Linked DNA regions of Caenorhabditis elegans. The protein of the gene in region 2 interacts with the protein of the main gene of each other region in a pairwise test. Each region holds a gene or a part of one and is shown on either strand. Other genes may lie near its edges.

Evidence for each region.
Region 1: the proteins of R07G3.8 (region 2) and ndrr-1 interact in a two-hybrid assay, tested with the Caenorhabditis elegans proteins (one large-scale study listed by BioGRID).

The regions. Positions count from the first base shown.
Region 1 is NC_003279.8:13,469,819-13,476,017, forward strand, and holds ndrr-1 (Protein NDRG3), read right to left. Parts: upstream 4,368-6,199; 5' UTR 4,364-4,367; coding exon 4,180-4,363; intron 4,134-4,179; coding exon 4,013-4,133; intron 2,723-4,012; coding exon 1,996-2,722; 3' UTR 774-1,995; downstream 1-773. Other genes in the region: ints-8 (INTegrator complex Subunit homolog), read right to left, coding at 202-382, 434-533.
Region 2 is NC_003280.10:7,617,707-7,622,494, forward strand, and holds R07G3.8 (CYRIA/CYRIB Rac1 binding domain-containing protein), read right to left. Parts: upstream 2,808-4,788; 5' UTR 2,807-2,807; coding exon 2,590-2,806; intron 2,542-2,589; coding exon 2,279-2,541; intron 2,234-2,278; coding exon 2,160-2,233; intron 2,110-2,159; coding exon 1,954-2,109; intron 1,596-1,953; coding exon 1,397-1,595; intron 904-1,396; coding exon 808-903; 3' UTR 532-807; downstream 1-531.

The DNA.
Region 1 (6,199 bases), on a different chromosome or scaffold from region 2:
TCTTTTTTGTTGTATTTTTCCACAAAATATACAAGAAATTTAACTGAAAAACTCTCAAAATCAGAATTTTTGACTAGAAAATTGGTTGAGGCTCAGAAATTTTGTAGTTTGTAGTCTGTGAACCTCAACCAACCCACAGAACTCTTCTAGCCTCATTTTCATTCATTTTTCTTCGTTTTTTCACCTCAATCAAGTACTCACTTATCAATAATAAACTCTATATCATAATCCAACGCGGCAAACGTGGCCATCGCACACAATCTCATACTTGCCGCCTTTCTCTCGAAGAGCATCAGCTCCTCGACAGCCAATTTTCCTTTATCTTTTTCCCGTTCGGCGAGGAATCCTTTATCCGTGAATTGCATACATAGTCGTGGGAGTTCTGCAATGGAAAAGCATGAATTTTCAGGCATAAACGAGCATTTTTCCCTACGTTTTCTCTTTTCCGGGTCCAAAAGCGACTTTGAGATGCATGTTGGGTCGACGAATAGCTCAAACCACGAAACGTCACCCGTACTCTCCGGATTATCCATTAAAAATGCTCAATTTCCGTCTGAAACTCGGTTTTTTTAGCAAAATACTGCGGAAATGTCTAAATTCGAAGTTATCCGAGAGGACTACACGGCCGGTGGCCTTGGAAAACGCGCGTGGCCGCGAGGGGGAAATGAAGGGAATTTCCCGTTTAAAACCAGAATAAATAGCTAATTTTAAAGTATATTCGAGGAATTTTAGTACTGAAATCAAAAATCTGAAAATGAAGTAATATAAATCAAATAAAAATCTCATTTTATTGAAAGGAAACGCAAAAAAAGGCATTGCAGAGGAATCGTATTGAGATAAAACACGAAAAAATGGGGTAAAATGCGTAGAGAATTTCAAGAAAAATAACGACGATTTTTAATTATTATATGGCGTTGCTGCTTCTACGAAATAAAGCTAAAGAGAAAGAATGGTGATCACACATGCGGTAGAGAGAGCGGGGAGAGACAGAAGTAGCGGAATTTTCGAAAGAAAGGTGTAGAATGAGGACAAAAATTGAGAAAATACATTTTAAATTTGGGGAAAAGTAGATGAAAATCGGGAAAAATCGACTGAAAATTCGAGTTTTTAAGCGAAAAATTGTTGAGTGAGGCTGTGGAATTTTTGTAGTTTGTAGTCTCTGAGCCTCAACCAAATCAGTGGATGGTTTTAGCTATGGTTTTCGTAGTTTTTAGTCGATTTTTCTCGCGAAAATTGTCTAAAATCTGGGAAAAAGCTAGCATTTTCGAAAAATAATGTGTAAATTCGACGAAATTTCATGAAAGAAATATTTCATAGAAATCTGATAATTTTCAGATTTTTCCACATGAAAAGCTTGAATATAGAAAAATTCTATGAAAAATGCTACAATTTCGATTTTTCAGCAAAAAAAAAATAAAAAGTCGTCTAAAATTAACGAATTTTCCACGAAAAGTGTTTCAAAATTTGGGTGAGGCTCAGAAACTACAAATTACAATTCTGGCTCAGCCTCACTCAATTGGAATTTTTTGGCATTTTTCTTTAAAATTTAGGATAGAATGGTGAAAATACATTTGAAATTTGGGGAAAAGTAGATGAAAATCGGGAAAAATCTACTGAAAATTCGAGTTTTTAAACGAAAAGCCTTGGTTGAGGCTGTGGAATATTTGTAGTTTGTAGTCTCTGAGCCTCAACCAAATCAGTGGATGGTTTTCGCAGTTTTTGGTCGATTTTTCGATTTTTTATTCAAAAAACATGACTTTTAGAAAACAAAAGTTTGAAAATTGAAAAATTCGATTTTTCCGCAAAAAAAATATTTGGATTCGACCAAAATAAATGTATTTTCCACGAAAATCGCTTCAAAATTTGGGTGAGGCTCAGAAACTACAAACTACAATTCTGGCTCAGCCTCACCCCATCGGAACTCTTTGGCATTTTTCTTTTTTTTTTTTAATTCAAATTTTCAGTCAAATTTCCCCTAAAAAAGAGAAAATACAATCAACATTCATTAGCACTGCTAGCAACGGCAGCAAAGCCTCCATTCTGCGTCTCCTGCATCTTTTTCGTCATCTTCATCACATTAAGCGTCGGAAAATATCCCAATCCCTGCAAAAAGAGCATCATGCTCTCCGTCACAGCGTCCGGTCGATCGTCAAGCACAAGACCACACGAATCGGATATCTTAATCCAATCGGCGTGTGCCGGGTCCAACTTCGTATTCACCTCTACCGTATCCTCAACGTGAGCGCTTCCGGCTCCGACGAGCTGGAGCACAGGGACTTTAAGCTGAACACCGGTGGTTCCGTCACGTGAGATAGGGAGTGGGGTCCGTTGAATGTAGGATTCAATGAATTCGGCGAGGCTATTCGGATTCGGAAGGTGCTGGAAGAAGACACGATACTGACGAACGATATCCGGACTGCAACGATCATAATTTCTGCCAAAATGATGCCACATCAGATAATCCACAGTGAATTTTGTCATGCCAACTTTACGAAGATACGATGTATTCCATTTCTCATATCCCCACTCGACCCATCCCGACTTTCCAGAACAGCAATTGACGAGGACGAGAGCGATGACGCGGTTCTGGTTTTGAGCTGCGTATCTTAGAAGTACGTTTGCACCAACGCCCACGCCAAATCCGATGAACTGATTGAGTTTGAAGTGATCGGCGACTGATTCGATCGTTTTTGCGATTCCGTCCATTGTTGGGTAGGTGAAACTGTAATGAAAATTTGGAAAAAAAACTTTTGAATTCTCGGAGAAAATCTTAATTTCATCTTTTTTTCTTCTGAATCTATGAAAAAACGTCTAAAATAACGCTTTTTCACATTAGAAAATTGGTTGAGGCTCAGAAAGTTTGTAGTTTGTAGTGTGTGTGTGAGCCTCAACCAGATAATTTTATTTGATTATCTAATTTTCAGTTATAAATAGAGTTTCTAAATACGTGAAAATTCAAAGAAAGAAAAAGGTCAAAATTTTGGGAAGTCTACTGAATTCCACGTGGAGAAAAATTTGGTGAGGCTAAACATTTTGTAGTTTGTAGTGTGCGAGCCTCAACCAAGAATGTGACATTTTTTGGTGAGGCTTACAGATTGTGTAGTTTGTAGTCCCTGGGCCTCAACCAACACAAATATTGAAAATTTCGATAAAAATACGTTTTTTAAAGGAATTTTTGGAAATTTTCGGAGAAAAATCGTGAGAAAAACGTTTAAATTTTGAATTTTTCTAACGTTTTTGGGAAATTTTTAAACTTTTTCGAATTGTTGTCGGTTTAAATTAAAGAAAAAATCCATAAAAATAATAAATATCGTCTGAAAATTTCTATAAATTTGAGTTTTTATAACGTTTTTGAAACATTTTGGTATACTTTTTAGCTTAAAAAATTTGAAAAACCAGAAAATAAAACTTTAAAAAACTCGTTAGATTTCTGTAGTTTGTAGTCTCTGAGCCTCAACCAAATCAAGGTTTTGGGTTTTTTTAAAAATTTTTCCAAAAATTGTGTTAAAACTGGGGAATTTACACAAAAACTGCTAATTTTAAGAAAAAAAAGTCTAATTTCAAAAGATTTCAATTTGGGTGAGGCTGTGGGATTATTGTAGTTTGTAGTCTCTGAGCCTCAACCAACGCAAATATTGAAAATTTCGATAAAAATACGTTTTTTAAAGGAATTTTTAGAAATTTTCGGGGAAAGTCGGGAGAAAAACGTTAAAATTTTTTTTATTGAATTTTTCTAACGTTTTTTTGAATTTTCTAGTCATTTTATTTTTAAAAAAGTTTTGGTTTTTTTTTTAAATTTTTCCCAAAATTGTGTTAAAAATGGGGAATTTACACAAAAACTGCTAATTTTAAGAAAAAAATAGTCTAATTTCAAAAGATTTCAATTTGGGTGAGGCTGTGGGATTTTTGTAGTTTGTAGTCTCTGAGCCTCAACCAAATCAGCAGATTGATTTTTTTTTCCAAAAATTGTGTGAAAACATGGAAAAAGGCAAGAATTTTCGAGAAATTATACTTTTCCGGAAGCGGCTGAGCATCCATTTCCTGTCCCGGAGCATTCACATTGTAGATGCAGAATTTGTCGGCGAATTCGGCGATCGACACGAATTGGAAAAAGTTTTGGAAATTGCTTTCCGCTGCAAAATGTACGATTTTAATTCAATTTTTCTGCTAAAAGCTCACAATCAAGCCCAAGATCATGAAAAGTGACCATCGGAACCTTTTTCGGATCGTTACGGTCTCCGTAAATCGACACTTTGATAGCTCCAAAGGCCGTGTTCACTTTTTCTTCGGTGAAATTGTTGGCAGATTCTTCCATTAGAGGCTGCATGTCACGTGTAAATGAGTGCATTTCTATTGATGCCATGGTTCTGGAAAAGTGGTATTTAATAGAGGAAATATAAAGGAAACAGTGAAAATAGAGAGAAAATCGAGAAAAATTAGAGAAAATCCAACAAAATCGATATTGGTTGAGGCTGAGAGACTACAAACTACAAAATCATCTGAGCCTCAACCAGATTTTATTCGAAAAAACATCTGACTTTTACAACTAAAATAAAGTGAAATACGTCGTTTTGGCTGCTCAGAATCAAAGAAAAAAATAGTTTGTATGATTGAGGCTGAGGCTACAAACTACAACATCATCTGAGCCTCAGCCAGATTTCATTTGAAAAAATTTGGCGTTTACAACTTAAATTAAGTGAAATGAGTAGTGTTGGCTGCTAAAAACCAAAGAAAATATACTTGTATGGTTGAGGCTCAGACTACAAACTACAAAATCCTGTGAGCCTCAACCAAACTTTATTTGACAAAAGGGATTATTTCCACAATTTCCGAAGGTAAAAGCAAAAAACTTAAGAAAAATGATATTTTTGTGTGAATTCAGCTATATAAACGCAGGAAATATTGAAAAGTCGATTAAGAGACACAATTTTTCATGCAAAAAATAGGTGGTTGAGGCTAAGTCTCCAAACTACAAACTACAAAATCGTCTGAGCCTCTCCCAAATTTTGTTTCGAAAAATCGAGGTCATAATGCGAAAAAAAACGAAGAAAAATGAGAGAAAATGAGGCTAGAAGCGTTATGTGAGTTGGTTGAGGCTATGGCTACAAACTACAAAATTTCTGAGCCTCAACCAATTTTTTAATTAAAAAAAACGTTATTTTGGATGTTTTTTCACAGATGCTGAATAAAAAAAGCTGAAATTAAGATTTCCTTGAAAATTTCAGAAAAAAAAACACAAAAAAAAACAAAATTTTTCAAAAAACATGCCGAAAATTCGGAAATTTCACAAGAAACATCCGAAAATTTTGAATTTTTCAAAATCTTAATTCGAAAATTGAATAAAAATTGAATATTTCGCTTTTCGAGACAAAAAATTACAACACTTTCGTAAAAAAAATTGCGCGAGAAAATGGTTGAGGCTCACAGACTACAAACTACAAAATCATCTGAGCCTCAACCAAATTTTGTTTCGAAAAAAAACAAAAATAAACACGATTTTTGACGAAAACACCAAAAAATTGTAGAAAAAGTTGTTTTTTTTTAATTAATCAAGCTCAGAAATGATAAAAACTTTGAAAATGATGGTTGAGGCTGTGACTACAAACTACAACTTAGCCTGAGCCTCACCAAAACTGGTTTTAATTGAAATTTGCCAAACAAAGCAAGTTTTTAGGTGAAATTTGAGTGAAAAAGTAAAAAAGTACGGTGCAGTCGTCTGACACAAATGAAAGTAAGTGAACATATGATCGGAAGCTTGAAAATATCATTGAAATAGTTAGAGACGCAGTGAGTCACCAGACAACCAGAAGGAGAGAGAGAGAGAGATACGAGAGACATAAGTCTATTGATTCTGCTGCCAATATTGCTGGGCTTTTGCATTTGTTGACCCAAAAAGTACAACGGGGCGAAGTTGCAAATTTTGTAGTTTGTAGCCACAGCCTCAACCATTTGTTTGAATGAAAATTAATAGATTTGCCTGAATTTATCGAAATTTTAAGCGCATTTTTTAAAAAATACTTTGCAGTTTTACCGTCAGAAAATATAGATATAATCCAGTTTTTAATTAAATTCATTCAAAAAAAAATTTGGTTGAGGCTCACAGGATTTTGTAGTTTGTAGCCACAGCCTCAATCATTTATTTTTGCATGAAAATTAAGTTTTTGATAGATTTTCGCAGAATTTCCGGCATTTATCGAAA
Region 2 (4,788 bases):
CAGAATTTTTTAATTGTTTCGTATAGAATTTCGATAAGCAGGGCAGTTTATAGTTTCTCATCTGTTTTCGAATTTTTATCGAATAATCCCCTCGAAAATTTTTAAAAGTTCATCCAAATTAACTATCATTCTTTTCAATGACACCTCCTCTTTAACATTTTCGTCGTCGTTTTTATTTTCTTTTTTATCCCAAAACGTGTTTATAGTCCGGATACACCGTTACGTAATGCGCCTTCTCCTTTCCCATGGTTCTTTTTATAATTATATAATAGGTGTTGTATAGCACAACCAACTACATCCCGAGTCGCTTGTTTCTTCATTTGCTGCTCAAAAATACCGACCAGTTTGTTTTTCTTCTTTCCTTTTTTTTGTGCTTTTCTGCCTTCACACATCCATTTCCCATTTTAAACTGTTTTCTCATCCACTACGTTTTGTGTCTCCCTCCTCCTTTCTCCAGAACAACTCTGTATTTTAATTTTTCTACATATTGTTGTTATATATTTGCGATCCAAAACAATAAAGGTGTGATATAAAAAATTAAGATGTTTATAAAAGATCTTGAAAAGTATACAAGTGGGTGTTGTAGAAAAAGAAGAACCGGAACCATAAGGCATTGAGAAAAATAATTAATGAGTGGGTGAATTGGAACGAAAAATAATTATTATCACTGACAAAAAGTACTGTTTGACGAGGAGAGGAACATAATCACCGTGTATGAGGAAATGGGCTTCAACTAGAAACGATAAGAGAACATAAAATAGAGGCAAGGATGACTAGAATTAATGAACAAATTGACAAAAAATGAAATTATTTCACTTCAATCAAATGACGAAGAGATTTTGGAGTACTTGAATCATTATAATGTTTTGTTGTGAAACGAAGACCAGCAAGTAGACAATCAGACTGAAAATAAAACAATTAATATGGGTTGCTCAATTTTATTCTAATTTTTATTATGGAAGCGCAGAAAAATGCTCATTTTGAAAGCGCGTTTGCAATCGCGCTTTACGGACAAACTGTTGGGTCTCGTTAGGTATTCGCAGAAAACTAGAAATTCGAACATGTTCAAACATTTTTCGTCTGCTTTAAATGCTTTCCGCTATTCTTTTAAATTAATTTCAGTCCGAAATTGATGAATTAAAATTTATAAACGAAAAAAAAATTCGATTTTCATTGTCACATGCATTTTTAAAATAATAATTTTGAAACAAAAATCATTAAAAACAACTTCAAATTGTATGAATTAATGCTGTCAATTCCTAACGAGACTCATAGTTTGGCGTTGGAGCGAGCTTGCCCCTTCATTTCATTTTTCTGCGTCCCCATAATGTTTGGAAAACGATATAAGCAATTTTCGCTCTACTACACGAAAACTCTAAATATGAAAAACGCTTACCTGTTCAGGAGTGGTATTTAGTTTGATCAACCTGACAACATCTCTCATATCAATTGATGAGTTTGACACGAATGCACCATTTTGATCTACGTGATCGAATAATATTACAAGGCCAGTCATCACTCGACAGCAAAGATGTTTCGATGAATCTGTCAGTCGTGCCAGACATTCGTCATTTGCTAACATGAATCGGCAAACGCTGAAAATTTTAATACAATTTTATTTTACCGTAACTCATCATATCGTAACTCATGACTGATCAGTGAAAAAAGTAGTTGAAAATCACTATTAAAGTGCAAAAATGACCAAGAACTTTCCAAAAAAAGTTAATGTTTCATTTGCAGTGAAAAAGAAGATCAATTCATAATTTTGGAAGTATTTTTGAAAGATTTGTCAGATTTCCAAAACGTTGACTGAAACTTTTCATAACACTAAAAATTATTTAATCACGATATTTAAAAGATTTCCATTTTCTTGCTTGTGTTCCATAAATTGCGGATGGAGTTTACGATATATTCCAAAAGTATGTTTTTCAGTTTAATTTATAGAAAACTCACTTGATAATTGTTACAAAAACATCAGTTGTATTGTTAATTGGCAAGCTTTGATGTGTCTGCATGTACGAATCTACACCATTACAAAGTGCTTTTAACATTGGATTTCCTTCACAAAGAAACATTTGAACTTGTGGTAATTCGGGAACTCCTTGGTCTCTACAAATTTAAAATTATATTAGATTGTTTCAAATAAATTAAATACTTACTCAAAATCCTGATAAACAATATGTTTTGCTCGTCGGTAATAACTGTAATCATTTGTTATCTGGGCGGTTCTCATCTGAAATTAAATTTTTTTCTTTAATTGGAAAAGTGGAATTCATACTTTTACGACATCAAAGTCCAATACAAATCCAATTAATCGTGCAAACTGTTTGGCAATTGATTGTTTATTTGCAAGTTGTTCTTCGAGAGGTAATGGGCCAGATGATAATTCCCATAGAATTATTGGTACGATTTTTTCAATTTTTGCAACATGTTCATAGTAGGAACATGTTCTGGCAACAAATGGTTCAAGCTTTGTCATTAAAACTTTTAAAGCTTGAGTATCACTGTCATTTTTTAATTGATTTCTTTCTGCATAGCAACCTGAAAATTGATGTTACAAGTCTACTAAAAAATAAAAATCTAACGTACCATTTCCATAACTTGATACATCAGCAAGTACTAAATCACAATCATTTAATACTTCTTCAGCCATATTATATATTTCCCTTTCTTCATCTGTTGGTTGTGCATTTTCAAAATCCACAAAAATCTCGACCCATTTTGAATTATCATCTGCTGTTGATCGTATAATTGATCGTATCATCTCAAGACAAGATGCATCAGATTCTCGAATATTCGACGGCATTCTGCGAATCATTAAGCTGAGTATTGAATAGTATTTTAGAAGTGAAAGTTGGAAAATAAAAAGAAAATAAGCGTATAATTACACGATGATCACATGAAGATTATAAGATGCCGGAGAAAAGTAGTTGAAATGGGGGAAAATGGAAAACAAAAAAACTGGGAATCTTGAAAACAAGTACCATCTGGAGTTGAAAGGGAATGAAATCAAAGTGTTCGAAGGAGAATCTTAAAAATGGCAGCTGGACGATAGCCGGACAAAAAAGCTGGGGAAAGATGCACCTGGTACAAATTGCAGCTGTTTCAGAAATTGCTGCGAGTAAAGTAAAAAGGTCAGTGCTCTTGGTGCACTTTAAATCTAATTTTAAAAAAATTGTCTTGGTACATATATAATTATCCAAAATGACAAAAATGAATTTTTAGATTTTTGAATAATAATGAATTTAGGTTAATTTTCGAAAACTTGGACTTTCTGACAATGAGAAGTTTAAAACAGTACTGCAACACCTGGGATGTTGGAACAAATATAATTTAAATATAACAAAATATGAACTCGTATCTACGAAAATTAAAACAAAAAATATAACTTTGGCATTTGGACATTTTAGCACCATAAGACGGTAATATTTGTCGCGTCTAAAATTTAAAAGATTTCAAAACTTATAGTCAGATACCATGGCTACACTATCAATTGTGAAAAACCAAAAACTGTCTGTCAGCTAGATAAGTATTTTGAATGAGAACCGAAATTGTGTGGGTGTGAAGCAAAGAAGAAAAAAGGTAACCGAACAGATTGGACTTGTAAAATGCAAACATATTGGGTGGCCGGTGTTTGAATTGTGTACATATATATCGGCAGCAGTGCGCGGGAATGCATTTCCTAGTGGATGTTGTCCGCAAAAATGAAATGGAAGAAAAATAGAAGAAGCCATTGGAAAGAAGACTATAAGAAGTGCACAGCTCGTTGTGCGCCGAAACAAAATGGCTCATGGATACAAAATGCGTGAAGAGCAGGAAATTGGTGCTGTTGGCTCACTATTGCTTTTACTTGTTTTATAAAAATGACCAAAAGAGAGTGAGAGGGAGCCTTGAGACAATGCTTGGGTCATTTTGAAATGAAAGGAAATTAGGGGAAAATGGGTGAAAATGGTGGACGCACGATGCGGTCATAAACGGGCCGGCGACGTGAGGAAAAGTGAAAAGTTGTTTATGGATGAAGACGTCGTCCTTACGGAAATTGAAGAGAGAGAGAGACTCTTTGGAAGTGTCACACGGAAAAGAATGAATTGGAATAGAACACGAGAAAAGACATGATTAGAGAGAAAGAAAGAAGAAGAGATACTTACCAAGTTGTGACCTTGGACAAATGGATTTTAACAAAAACAATATTTACGGATTCTGAAAAATTTTCAATTTTGGGTACAATTTTCAGGAAAATTTATACTTTTGATGTAAAAGACAAGCAGAAATTCTTCCAAAAAGGAGCTTTGAATATTCCGATCGTTTTTTTTAATCAAAAAACAATTATTTCAAAACTTTTCAGAAAAAAATAGATATGCAAATATTTTTATTATCAGCAATTGTAGAATTTGAACCCTTGATTACAAAATTTCCTAGAAAAAAGTATTTGTTTCAAACGGAGTAAGTGATACGAATAAATTGCAGCAGGTATCTAGAAAACCTGCGACTGGAAATGTTTTTTTTTCCAATCATAAATTGTTTATGGAACGAGAAAACGGGACAACCTTGTGATATAGATTTTTCGTAAAAATTGAAAAATATATATGTGCAGCAAAAAAAAATAAATGAAATTTAATCTGAAGGCGTGATGCTTCCGATATATTCAACGGCACCCGTTTTTTCTTTGCTTTGGTTTTTTTGTGACTACTCCAGAAAAGCGATAAGATCTAAGAAAAAAGAATAAAAGAATAGGTGAAAAGGAGAAATAGGTTGTTGACAAAGTGTCAAAACGTTCCGAAATGAGAG